Caenorhabditis elegans: one gene and its partner. The protein of the gene in region 2 interacts with the protein of the main gene of each other region in a biochemical or structural test. Each region holds a gene or a part of one and is shown on either strand. Other genes may lie near its edges.

Region 1 (5,268 bases), on a different chromosome or scaffold from region 2:
ATGGTATCCCCTTTTTCCCCACTATTTGTAAAGCTTCTTCACCTTTAGTAAAAAATTTGGTTCTGGTATTTGGTATTCAGAGCCCTTCCAGTTTTAGTTCTACCCCCCCCCCCCCCCCCTCTAATCAATCATTTTGTAACAAACAGTTTCATTCAGTCATGTGTCTTCGAAGTTTTGCGGACGGACATAAATAACATAAAAAAGTGAAATTTCCTCTCTGCATGGTTTATACGGTCTCTGTGCTTACTATCGAAGATAAACTGATATGATGAGAAACACCACCACGTCCGGGTTTCAAATCTTCAACACTTTCCCATATTTTCAATGCACATGGCACTTCACATAAGAATCCTTAAAGTTTTTCCATGTAAATGTGACGAACCGCCATATTCAGAGTGCTCTGCGTCGTTCAACAACAGCTTTCCAAGTCCTCCAATTGTTTAATCAGGCGGTGAGGACGAGGGGCGGTAAAGACTCCCATACTCGAAACGCACAGATTTGAAGCAATTGTATTCCCGAAAAACAAGACTAGCCCCCGGGAGGAGGAGAGCATCAGTTTGTTTCTTTTGCCTCCCACTGTTTTCGCTGCCTTTCTCGGATTGTCCAAACATGCGAACGTCTTAGTCCGAGCACATTGAGCGAACGGTATTTTTTTCTTTTTTTGTAGCATCGCAACAAATTGGGCTCTCTTTGCTATTTTTGGGCACAAACAAATGGTTGTTTCATTTTTGAATCGCCGCCAAATTCAAAATCCTCTGTACATTCCTCTCAGCTAAAATTTCACACAGAAAAAGAAAAACAAAAAATTATACTGCAGTTCGTAATTGTTTTCCAAATAACATCTTACAGTATAAGTATTATTCTGTATTTCCCACCACCACATCATGAATGCAATGTGATCAGAGATGGATTATTTCTTCATTCTGTCTCTATTCTTTTCTTCTTGGAGCAACTTCTCCTTGTCGCATCCTTTGATTGAGCCTTCTTTCTTCTTATTCTTCTCCTCCTTCTTCTTTTACTTCATCCCAACATCCACCCACTCGTTGTCAGTTGAGCTCTGTTGTTATTTCGCGTTTTATTTCTCTTCATCGATTTCAATCTTTTTTTTCTGGATCAGCATGACATAAATCGATACTCCAGAGGTGGTGTTATTTGCGCAACGGCTCATTGTGGTGAAATATTATGGCAAAAATTGACCGGGGGGAAGAGTGTTGGAAAGAAAGAGTCAATTTTTGCGACGACAGGCGGGCGGTGGTTGGCTTCTGTTTGGAGAGCAGCAAAACTTTGACAGGCTCACCCACCACCGGAGACAGACCTACGGATTTTGTGCGCGCGCGAGCTTTTCGTCGGCTCGTTCTTATCCATTTCTATTTTATCTCTCTCTCGCGATTTGTCGCCTTTCGTTTAGTTTTCACTATCTCTACCTATGTGGTCTCTGAGGTAAGTAAGGTCTCTGATAACTCATTGATCATGACGAGTGATAGATAATAGCAGTGTAAAGTTTTCAGTTTCATGTTGGCTCTAGCTCATTTCCTATTGATTCACACCTTCGATGTTGTATATGTTTTTTTAAATTATCGTTTATAAACTTCTCATATTTCTATGTATATATATACAAAACTTCAAACAAAAACATTTTGCAGGTCAATTTCACGGTATTTAAGCTAGGCCCTATATAAATCAAGTAAAAAATGTACGGCCAAGTCCAAGATCCACTGGTGCATGCTGCTGCCGCTGCTTTGGCACAATCAACCAACGCCGAACCAGTAGTTGGTGAGTTTCCTGTGATCCCCATCGAATTGTCACATGATGATGGTTTAGAGAGGGAAAAAGATAGGGAAAAATGACAGTGGTATGCAACTTTTGTGTGTAACCTCACATATGGTTCCACTTAAAAGAAGACTTGCGATAGGAATAGAAACTGGAAATATTTCAAATTTTTTAGTTCATCTCCATTCATTTTCAGGTTCCCGTGATACCATGTTCACCAAAATCTTTGTCGGTGGTCTGCCATACCATACAAGTGACAAGACGCTTCACGAGTATTTTGAGCAGTTTGGAGATATTGAAGAGGCTGTAGTCATCACTGATCGTAACACACAAAAAAGCAGAGGATATGGATTTGTAAGTCACTGGAATGTCAAAAATTTCTAGTTTGCGATATTTTTTCACGAGATCTTACGTTGGAGGTCAATTGAAACGAAACGGTTTCTAATCATCAATCACTTTTGACATGATTAACCATTTTTTATCTTGTCCGTCCAGATAAAAGAGGAAACAATTTCGTTTGATTTAACTTCACTAAATTGGAAAATAATTCGGGAACAAGGTGGATGAAGAAATCTTCAAATTTCCGAAATCTCGCGGTTCTGCTTTGACCTCTCAAGCGGCTCTTCATAGGAATCGCACGCGTATTTTGTTAGCAAACATTTCCCAACCATATATATCTCAACAAATAGTTGCAACAGCAAAGATGGAAAGATTACTCTTCGCAAAAAAACATGATCTTTACATATGTTTGTTAATGAAACATAACTTTTCAGGTAACAATGAAGGACCGTGCTTCTGCAGAAAGAGCTTGTAAAGATCCAAATCCAATCATTGATGGAAGGAAGGCTAATGTCAACTTGGCATACCTCGGAGCTAAACCAAGAACAAATGTGCAACTTGCTGGTAAGTTTCGAATTTTTGTGCGGCTCTTGAGCAGCTCTCAGATCATTTTATTCTCCCCGTGTGTTTTGGCTTCTGCTAAACATTATCAATCCTCCACAACCTTCATAACCAAAGGATATTGTTTGTGTCGCGCATCTCTATTCAGTTTTTGTCTGTGTTAACCAAAATCACCAAGTTGGTCATTTTAGCGCTGGCCGCTGGACAAGTTCAACTTCCACTCACCACTCAACTTCAGGCTTTGTTTCAACCAAGAATGGGGTAAGTTTCGGTGATTTGCCTGTGTGTGACATACTTCCAACAATTCCTATCTCATCCAAAAATCACCGCTAATTGAGTTGTGTTGATACAGAAAAAAGAAACAACACGACAACAACAGCAATGACAAAACACTGTAGAACTTTGTGCTCTAGCTCAAAAGTTGCCTAGGATACTTGAGAAGTACTCTTGTGTTCAACCATCTTCACACGTTTAATAATAACTTAAATAATATTAATGATTGTAAACCAAAATATTTTAAGACAAGTGGCCGGTTGAATCGAAATCCGTGGATGCCTAAAACTAAAGGTTAGGCGTGCTTTGACGTGTGCCAATATCATTACTTTCATTTTCCAAACCAAAAGCGGAATACAATAGTGCTGTGTTTTTGACGTGTCCATACTCTCTTTCTCTTCATTTTCACCTATTTCCCAAACCTATATGATTTCGAGTTTTTCTCTTTTCCCTTGGTGAAAACTTGCATAGTCCTGAATGAACTGAGCACCCCAAAGTTGTTTTCTTCATTGGTGGGATTGATGATTATTTCTTTGTAGGTCAATGGGTTTGGCTGCCTAACTAAAACCATCACGCATTTTCTAAACTTTGCTATAGTTTGGTTACGTCTTTTCTGATACTTTTTTTTTTGGAATTTTGAAGTTGTCAATGATTTTACTTTTCATTCTATCCAAATATGTTAGATATTTCTTTTGCACTAACTCAAAAAAACTGAACTGAAAAAATGTGGAGTTTCTTAATATTGTTAAAACAAAAACAAAAATAATTATACTTTCCAGAACCAAAAAAAGTGAATTTTTATCACGCATGTGCGTGTTTTTTGGGTGATATTGTGATAAACACTGTTGCCTCATTTCCAGCATTTGGCATTTACATCCTCCTGTCAATTCCGTGTTCGGTAATTAATCAATACTTTTTTTTAGACTTCCTCAAATGTATTATCCGACTGTCACAGGACTGGTCAATCCGTTGATGGCACAACAAGGAGCCGCTGCTCAGCAACAATTGTTCGATTATAATGCTCTGGCCGCAGTAATGAACCCACAAGCTGCCGCCGCTTATGGTATTCAGTCCCAAGGAAAATGTATGTTCGACGATAGGAAGTTAAAATTAAATAAAAATTTTTTTTTTTCAAATTTAATAAAACATTTTCAGTCGCAGCCGCCCCTACAACAATTGAGCAATACGCCGCCTATCCAGCAGGATACGGCCTAGTTCCCCAATCTGCCTACAATATTGGAAACCCACAGTTGCAACAATTAGCTGCCGCACAACAACAGCTTGAGCATCAACGTGTCTAGAATCCTAATAATATTCTTCAATTTGTCATTCACTCATTCATAAAACCGATTGTCATTGTCGTCCCAGCAATAATTCGCCAACTGATTTTGCCAATAGAGAACATAGGTATTTGCCCGAGTTATACTGATAATTTTACAACTTTGTCCTACCCAAATATCAGATTCTTACGCAAATCAAACAGTTCTATCTAGTCTTCCAATTTCAACTTTATTCCCATATACTTTACAATTTTAGTCACAGTTCTTTTTGATTTTGTCAATTTTTTTCTTATTCATTTCAAATTACAAATCTCTGATGTGGGTTTCTACACGTTCGATGTTTTTTCTTCTCAATTTTTTCCCGAAACGCCAGAGTTGCCTGATTTTAATGTGCCATTTGCACATCCTCATTGAATTTGCAAATTAATTTCATATGGTGAGTTCGTAATAGTCGTACATGTTCCTGCATTTAATGTTTACAATAAACCGATTTCAAAACCTAATCACGTGTGATGCAGAAACTGGAAGTAGTTGTAATGAACGGGGGTTTAAACAGAAGGCAGATGGATACAACAGGAACTAGTTGCAGCATTAGGTCATCTTGGCAAACAGTAAGAAATAATGCAATACTATATTGTAGTTTCGTAGATCGAATTTAAAACAAAAAATACAGTACTAGGCAGAATGATACTTTTAGAATGAATGATAATTTTTTGACGAATTTTTTCCATCCAAAAAAATAGGGAAAAGAACCTGTGAAAGAAGAAAAAACTGGCTCTGAAAATATAATATCCTGACTGATTGAAGTTGTCGATCCTGTAAATTCTAAAACTGATAGTAGTGGTAGTAGATGACATTGAACACTTCCGAATGACATTTCAGGCTGAAAATTAAAAAAAATTGAAATGCCTTGAGAAACCATCTACAAATAGTAAATAGTAGAATAACTAACCGAAATGAGGGTAGAGAATAATTATTTTAAGCTGCTCGAGACATTTTGGCCACCACTGAAAACAAAACGTTATAAAATTAAACTACCGTTCCA
Region 2 (7,153 bases):
TTTCTCGAAATTCAGACGATCTTTAAATTGTAGTTTTTTTTTTGTTGAATAATACTTTAGTACGATACAAAATATGTCTAAACACAAAATTCGATATAAAAGTTGTCAGATTGAAAAAGTGCTGAACTCATTGAGCTTAAGACGCTCAATCCTGGTTTAATAGCCTCTGCTCTCACTCACTTTTTCTACGACTAACCAATTAAAAAATCGATTGAATCGGTCATTCTCCGCCGCCACATGGTGCCCATCTGTCTTTTTATTTTCCATTTTTCCCCCTCACTTTCTCCTCGTTTATTTTCGCAACGCTCCAGCTCCCTATTCTCCTCCCGGTTTTTCATTTTCTCGTTTTCCATTTTTCAATTTTCTCACAATAAGGACTCACTATTTCCACTTTTTTGTTTCTCTTCAAGTGCGAGTACTAATCCCTTTCACAGGAAAAGTGGAGTTTTTGTGCTTCTTTTAAACAAAAAAGTAGATTCGAATCGATTCTTAGAGAGAAATCGGCATCGAAATGCTTCATTTTCGCAATATTTATTAAATTTATTGGATTACCTACCGCTGCGAGACCCACCTGGAAATTGTATGCATGCACCTTTGATCACTGTAATTATTTGTTTGTCTTTTCTGATTTTTCTTCCTTCTTCATCATTTTTAAGCGTGTTTTCTAGTTTTTCCTCGCTATTATGCCTAAAAAACATTGAAAAGAAATATTCGTAATTTGCACCTATTCATTCCTGATATGACAAAATATTTATCCGATCACTTCACATCAAAATTAGTTCCCGTGTCACAACAAAGAAAAGACCTTGAACACTGAGGAGAAAGAGAGAGGAAGTGAGGAAAATGAGGCAAGATGACACAAAAAAAAGACGGAAAACTATCGAAAAATAGGGTCGTTTTGAGACTGAACAACCAGTTTTGGCCCCGTTTCAAGTGTTGGTAGCTACCTCTGAAGGCAGAACTTTTTTGAAAGACTGTAGATACTGTAGATTGAAATTTGATTAAGTTTCCAATGTCTTTTACGTTATTTCAGTCCTTTCAAAATCTGTTTCTAGACTTTTTCTTCTCATAACTTCAAAAACCAATACAATTTCTTCAAAAAAATAAGTTTTTGCTCACAAAAATCTTTGCACAGGATCCAATGGCCTAGCTTTACCCAGGCCACCACATTCCTCTGTGTTACCCGCCTCCTCGTGAGCTGCTCGTTGCGCGTGTATCGCTCTTTTTCTCTAATTCTCTATCATCCTTCCTATCCATTTTTAGCGGGTTTTTTCCCGATGTTACTTCAGTTTTTCTTTACGAGTAGCTTTGGTTTGTACATTTTGTTTTAGGAATTCATTTCTAAATGTGCCCAACTGAGCGAATCTTATAATGAGACTTCCCAAAAAAATGTTCAAAATTTCGAAAAAATTGCAAAAATTCCAATTTTTACATGTCGCTGTATTTCAGCTGCTGTAAGGAAAAGTATGCTTCGAAATTTTTGAACAGTCATACAGTTTTTTTTTGAGAAACTGACTAAAAGTCTCAAATTTTCGTTCATTTGGGCACATATTTTTATTTTGAAAAATCCACATATTTTCTTGAAATCTCAATCGATTTTTTAAAGCTTTTTTCTTCCTTCAAAATCTATCTTTTCGAAAAAAAAAAGCTTTTCCAAATATTTGTTGTTCCAGATCTTCTCTACAAATGACAACGGCGGCTGAAATAATAACAGTGGTGAGTCAATATAATTTCAGGTATTTTCTTCTCCAACTAAAAAAAACAAAACATCGAGCGTTTTATTTTCTCTTCCAGCGCTCCCCTCATCTTTTCCATATTATGCACATAATTTTAACCAAAACATTGATTTTTGTGGTGTTTGCACCGGTATTATATATATTCTGAACAAGTATATATATATATTATAAGTATCTCTCATTTTTCTTCCGTGGCTAGCGGCGCATGCGGTTTTGTGGCCTTTCTTATAATTTCGATCTATATCTTTTCGCGAGTTGGGTCTCGAGTGGAAGTGCACTAGTTTTCCACTCGAGACCCAATTAGTGAATGAAATTTCAGTTTGAATAACCAATGTCTGCTCCTCTTCCAAACGCCCCTCTCTAGCTTATCATTGCCACGTGGCAAAAGACTGGAAAATATTGGAGAAATCTTTTTTTTTCGAAAAAAAAACCAATATCTGTTCCAAATAACAAATTCTCAATGGTTTTTTGTGCATGGATGATGATGATGAAATGATATACACCCACACGTACACCTACACACATACACTGGTTGAATGTATTTAGTGAAACACAGTTTTTTATTTTATTTTCTAGTTTTTAATTTCATTTTTATACTAATCAAATCACGCTAGGTGTCTAATTGTAATATGGTTAAATGGAACCTGGTATATATATATAAATATTTTGCATGTGGATTTTTAGTCAGGAAAATTGAATCTACGAAATTTGAATAAAAAGTCAATTGAACATCTGAGGCAGAATAAAATTACTTTCCCATGATAGTCTAATTTATGAAATTGCATGCAATGTTTCTCGCTTTTGTGTCCATTTAAATGGCTTTTTGGAATAAAAAACTGCTGGATTGTGAAAACCCCCTATTGAAATTTTAATATTATTGGGAGGCAGAAAAATATTCGCTTCGTTTTGGCGGCAAAATAGTTAATTCAAATGTTTGAATTAGTTTCGCCAATTTTCAAGTACTTTTTCTCTTTTTTCAATTATCGATTTAGAAAGTCTGAATTTATGGTTTTTCCGCCAAATTCCTAATAAGACCCATAGTTTGGGGGCGGAGCGTTTAAAATTGGCGTCAATTTCGAAATGGGCAATATTTGCGCCCCCATAATAAATAATTCATCTTTGAAAATTGCGAGAAATTACAGTACCCCAAATACCCTGCGTTCTTTTCGGTCGCGTCGAGACCTGGTTTTTCTCACAAGAATTTTTGAAACATATTTTTGGATGACAACTCCTATCTCTATATTTTTTTTTCTCCATAAAAAATCATAAATATTATCAGGTTCCATTTTTTAAATATACCCTAGGATTACTATATATTTCAACCAATTTTCTTTCAATCTTTCATTTCTAACCGATTTCATTTAATAATAATAATGTCTACATCTATCATCCATGTTCAACCAATCATTCAGATGACGTCATATTCCGCACGAAACAGGAGATCATTCTTCCTCATCCCCTCGTCGACAAAACCGCATGAGCTCCCTCCCCAGTGAATGACATTGCTTTTACCGTTTTCAGGAAAAATTAAACGATTTCGACTATAAAGTGGCTCTCCAGCAGCAAATGGTAGCTGCTCAAAATGGAGCTGCCGCCGCTGTGCTCCGACCACATCAAATCGGATCCTCTCCAGAGGCTCCACAATCTCAAACATCTGGAGGATCAACGGAACAGCTGCAGCAGCAACCACTACCACCACCAACTCAACAGAAGCAACAGCAGCCACTGACGATTGGACCAGTGGCTCCGAATGATCGCAGCACTAGCTGTAAGAGACTCCTAATGTTCTTCTCTATTCTTCCTACGTTTTTTAGCATTAAAAAGAGAGAGCTTATTTGATAATGCACGTCTTCGTGGAAGACTTGAGAGAGATTTGTGTTCTATTTTTTTATTAAACAAAACCAGAGAAATGCATGAAAAGTGCCCAATGATGTGTGTGCAATGAGCGAAAAAAATAAATAATTTACGGGAACTTTGAATTCGGAGAATGCGTACTGCACCACATATTTGACGAGCAAAATATCTCGTAGCGATAACTTCAGTAATTCTTTAATGACTACTGTAGCGCTGGTGTCGATTTACGGGCACGATTTCGAAATGAATTTCTGTTCAAACTGTGGGAGCGATATCAAATTATTCTATCATTTTTGTGTTCTTTTAATATTTTTTCGATTTAAAATGATTCTCGTAAATCGACACCAGCGCTACAGTATTAATTTAAAGGGTTACTGTAGTTTTCGCTACGAGATACTTTGCGCGTCAACTATCCTGCGAAATACGAATTCTCAGAATTTATTGTTCCAGGTAATAATAATTTAAAATAAATGCACACACATCATTGCGTGCTATTTTAATTGTGGATAATGTTCATATCGGTGGCAGTTATTTAATTTCAATAGTGGTTTTCTTTTTTTTCGTCTAGCCATACATATATTAACCTCTGGAATGCGTACAAGCACACTGCCCACACCCCAAGGTTGACTGCTTTTTTAGTTTTTTATTAATTTCTTCTGATTTCTCTTTTTTTTTTGAAATTTTTTTGAAAAAAAAAACAGAAGGAAATCATCAAAAAAATAATATTAAAAAAATTTTTTAGGCATTTAAATCCCAAGAACACTTTTGAAAAAATATTTTCAGCAAGTAGTACAGATGGACCACGCCGCCTACACGTCTCGAATATCCCGTTCAAATATCGTGAGCCAGATCTCACTGCGATGTTTGAAAAAGTTGGGCCCGTCGTAGATGTCGAGATTATCTTCAATGAACGGGGTTCTAAGGTTTGTTTTAAAACAACATTTTCAGAAAAAATTAATAAATAAATTCCAGGGATTTGGATTCGTGACAATGCAGAATCCAGATGATGCGGATCGTGCTCGAGCCGAGTTTAATGGAACGACGATTGAAGGGAGACGTGTTGAAGTGAATCTTGCTACTCAGAGAGTTCACAATAAAAAGGCCAAGCCTTTGATGTCAGGTAAGGAAAATAGTGTTTCGTGATTCTGGAAAAAATTGAAAATCGGAAAAAGGAGCCATCGAAATTTTTGTCCAAGTTTTCTGAACACATTAAAAAATCCAATTTTTTATGTTTACAATATTAATCGTATTTAATAAAACATACAATTTTAAAAAGAAAAAGGATCAAAATTTGGAGCTTATTTTCGAAAAATCGAAAAAATTTTGATTTTTCGATTTTTCACAAATCGAAAAATATACACCCTTGGTCCGAGATTTTCCATTTTCGAATATCAATCTCAAAATATTTCAGTTGGAGTGGACGCAATGAGTGCTCAAAATGCTCTGATATCCCAACAACAACAGATTCAACGTGCTGCTCTTCTGCAACAGCAACTTCTTGCTCAACAATTCCTTGTGCCACGTCATCAACAACTCATGATGCCACCAACTTCTGCAGCAGCCATCTCTCAACTGCAAGCTCTTCAATATCAACAGGCACTGCTCGCTGCTCAACAACAACAGCAACAAATGCAGAATCCTCAATTCCTTTTAAGTCTTCAACAACAGCAACAGGCACAAGCACAGGCTCCACCGACATCGATGGCTCAGCTTATTCAACATCAACAACAGTTTGCAATGGATCCGATGGCTCAGGCACAGGCACAAGCTGCTCAAGCACAAATGGTCACGTTGATTGCATTTGAGCAACAGAGAATGCAACTTCAAGCTGCTGCTGCCGCTGCTCAAGGTTATTTCTTCGAAAAATTGAGAAATGATTTTTTTTTGAAATAATAATTATTGAAAATTCTAATGTTTTCCAAAAATAATTGAACGTTAAAAAATCGAGAAAAAATTTGAAATAAATGAAAGGAGAAAACTATGGATTATTTATAGCTATTGATTTCGATGATAAAAATATTTACTTTTTTGTTTGAAAATTGATAAATTACAATTTTTATAATGTAAAAAACGAAAATTTTCGGTTTTTTTTTTTGAAAATCTAAAAATCTGCGAAGTTAACGTCGGGAAAAAATTAGAAAATTGTACGAAAAGGAGAAGAAAACTAGGTTTAACGAAAAAGTTGTGATTTTCGATGAGAGAACGTTTTTTTTTTAATTTTGGATTTTTCAGAGTAAACCGAAAAATCTTAAGAAATGACCCAAAGTTATTGAAAATTTGATTTTTTTTTCTAAAAATAAAAACTAAACTTTAGTTTATATTTTAATCTAACATGTTGAGAAATTACCTTAATTAACAAAAAAAAATCGGAAAACCAAAATTTTTCCAACGTTAAAAACTGAAATTTTCCAGGTCGAGGTGTTCCTCAGCCAGGGCGCATTCCAACATCAACAGCCACCACCGGATCATCACAAAATCAAGTCGCTGCAGGCTCAATTGGAGAGCAATACTTACAACAATCAATGCAAGGAGCAGTTCCAGCAAATTTCCATCATCACTCACAGGCTCTGCATCCAGCGGCTGCTGCTGCGGCTGCTCTTCAACGACGTTTTGCTCCATATTAATTTTATGTTTATATACTCACTGGATTTTCGAATAATGTAATTTTAATTCTACACAATTCTCGGAATAATCCATCACATTCCCCCATTGCCCCATCTGACGCATATTAATTCATGTGTAATTTTACATATTTTCCCAGAACATTTCCAGACAAAAAATACATTTTAATCTCTATTAAAAACTCTGATGACCCCCATCCCGTCCCCAATTTGGCTTTATTTGATATTCATAATATTCTCACGGAACTCTGTGTAATAAGTTGTTTTCTTACTAATTTTTCTAACCTTTTGAAATTGTATGCTACGGATTGTAATTCATCTTCCCTCCCTCTCTCACTCGATGCATCTCTTTTCTCAATTTTTGGTGTTGCTTTATCAATTTTTCTCTACTTTTTCTGTGCAATCTTCTTTTTTTTCTCGAACAAAAATTGTTTTAATAATTTTTATTTCAAAAAACAAAAAAAAATGTACAGAGCAATAGGGACAACGAAACAAATTCCCATTTTCAGAAAAAAAGAGAAAAAAAAACAACTAGAAATGTAGAAAAACAATCAATTTTCATCCATCGGCTCATCATCTAAATCAGGCATCGGAAATCTCAAAATAGCTGCACATCCAGTCAACTGAGCGAGTTGTTCTCCAGAAACGTGCATTGAAGAGAAAATGTGAACTTTTCCGTTCTGTTCTCGAACACTTTCCACAAGTCTTACGTATTTTCGTCGTGTCTCAATATCTTGGGCTCGGAATAGAGAATCAGCGACAAGGAGTGTTTCGATGGCGAGCTCTTGATTTGCACGATTCACATGGCTGAAAAATTGTGAAATTTTAGTAGTTTTTATCGAATTTAATAGCTCCAACACAACAATCTGTCGAGTTTACACCAGTTTACTAATTATTTTTGATATTAACACTCATACCGGCAAAAATTTGATTCACTTATAG

Evidence for each region.
Region 1: of the proteins of asd-1 (region 2) and sup-12, one has a biochemical effect on the other in vitro, tested with the Caenorhabditis elegans proteins (one study listed by BioGRID).

Annotation. Positions count from the first base shown.
Region 1 is NC_003284.9:3,902,948-3,908,215, forward strand, and holds sup-12 (RRM domain-containing protein), read left to right. Parts: upstream 1-1,643; 5' UTR 1,644-1,691; coding exon 1,692-1,773; intron 1,774-1,966; coding exon 1,967-2,124; intron 2,125-2,543; coding exon 2,544-2,673; intron 2,674-2,861; coding exon 2,862-2,931; intron 2,932-3,191; coding exon of another isoform or gene 3,192-3,207; exon of another isoform or gene 3,208-3,237; intron 3,238-3,866; coding exon 3,867-4,027; intron 4,028-4,098; coding exon 4,099-4,244; 3' UTR 4,245-4,724; downstream 4,725-5,268. Other genes in the region: T22B2.5 (Neur_chan_memb domain-containing protein), read right to left, coding at 5,197-5,230.
Region 2 is NC_003281.10:4,195,612-4,202,764, forward strand, and holds asd-1 (RRM domain-containing protein), read left to right. Parts: upstream 1-1,673; 5' UTR 1,674-1,686; coding exon 1,687-1,716; intron 1,717-3,257; coding exon 3,258-3,504; intron 3,505-4,373; coding exon 4,374-4,513; intron 4,514-4,562; coding exon 4,563-4,710; intron 4,711-4,890; exon of another isoform or gene 4,891-4,936; intron 4,937-5,001; coding exon 5,002-5,439; intron 5,440-6,002; coding exon 6,003-6,214; 3' UTR 6,215-6,649; downstream 6,650-7,153. Other genes in the region: pelo-1 (Protein pelota homolog), read right to left, coding at 6,763-7,018.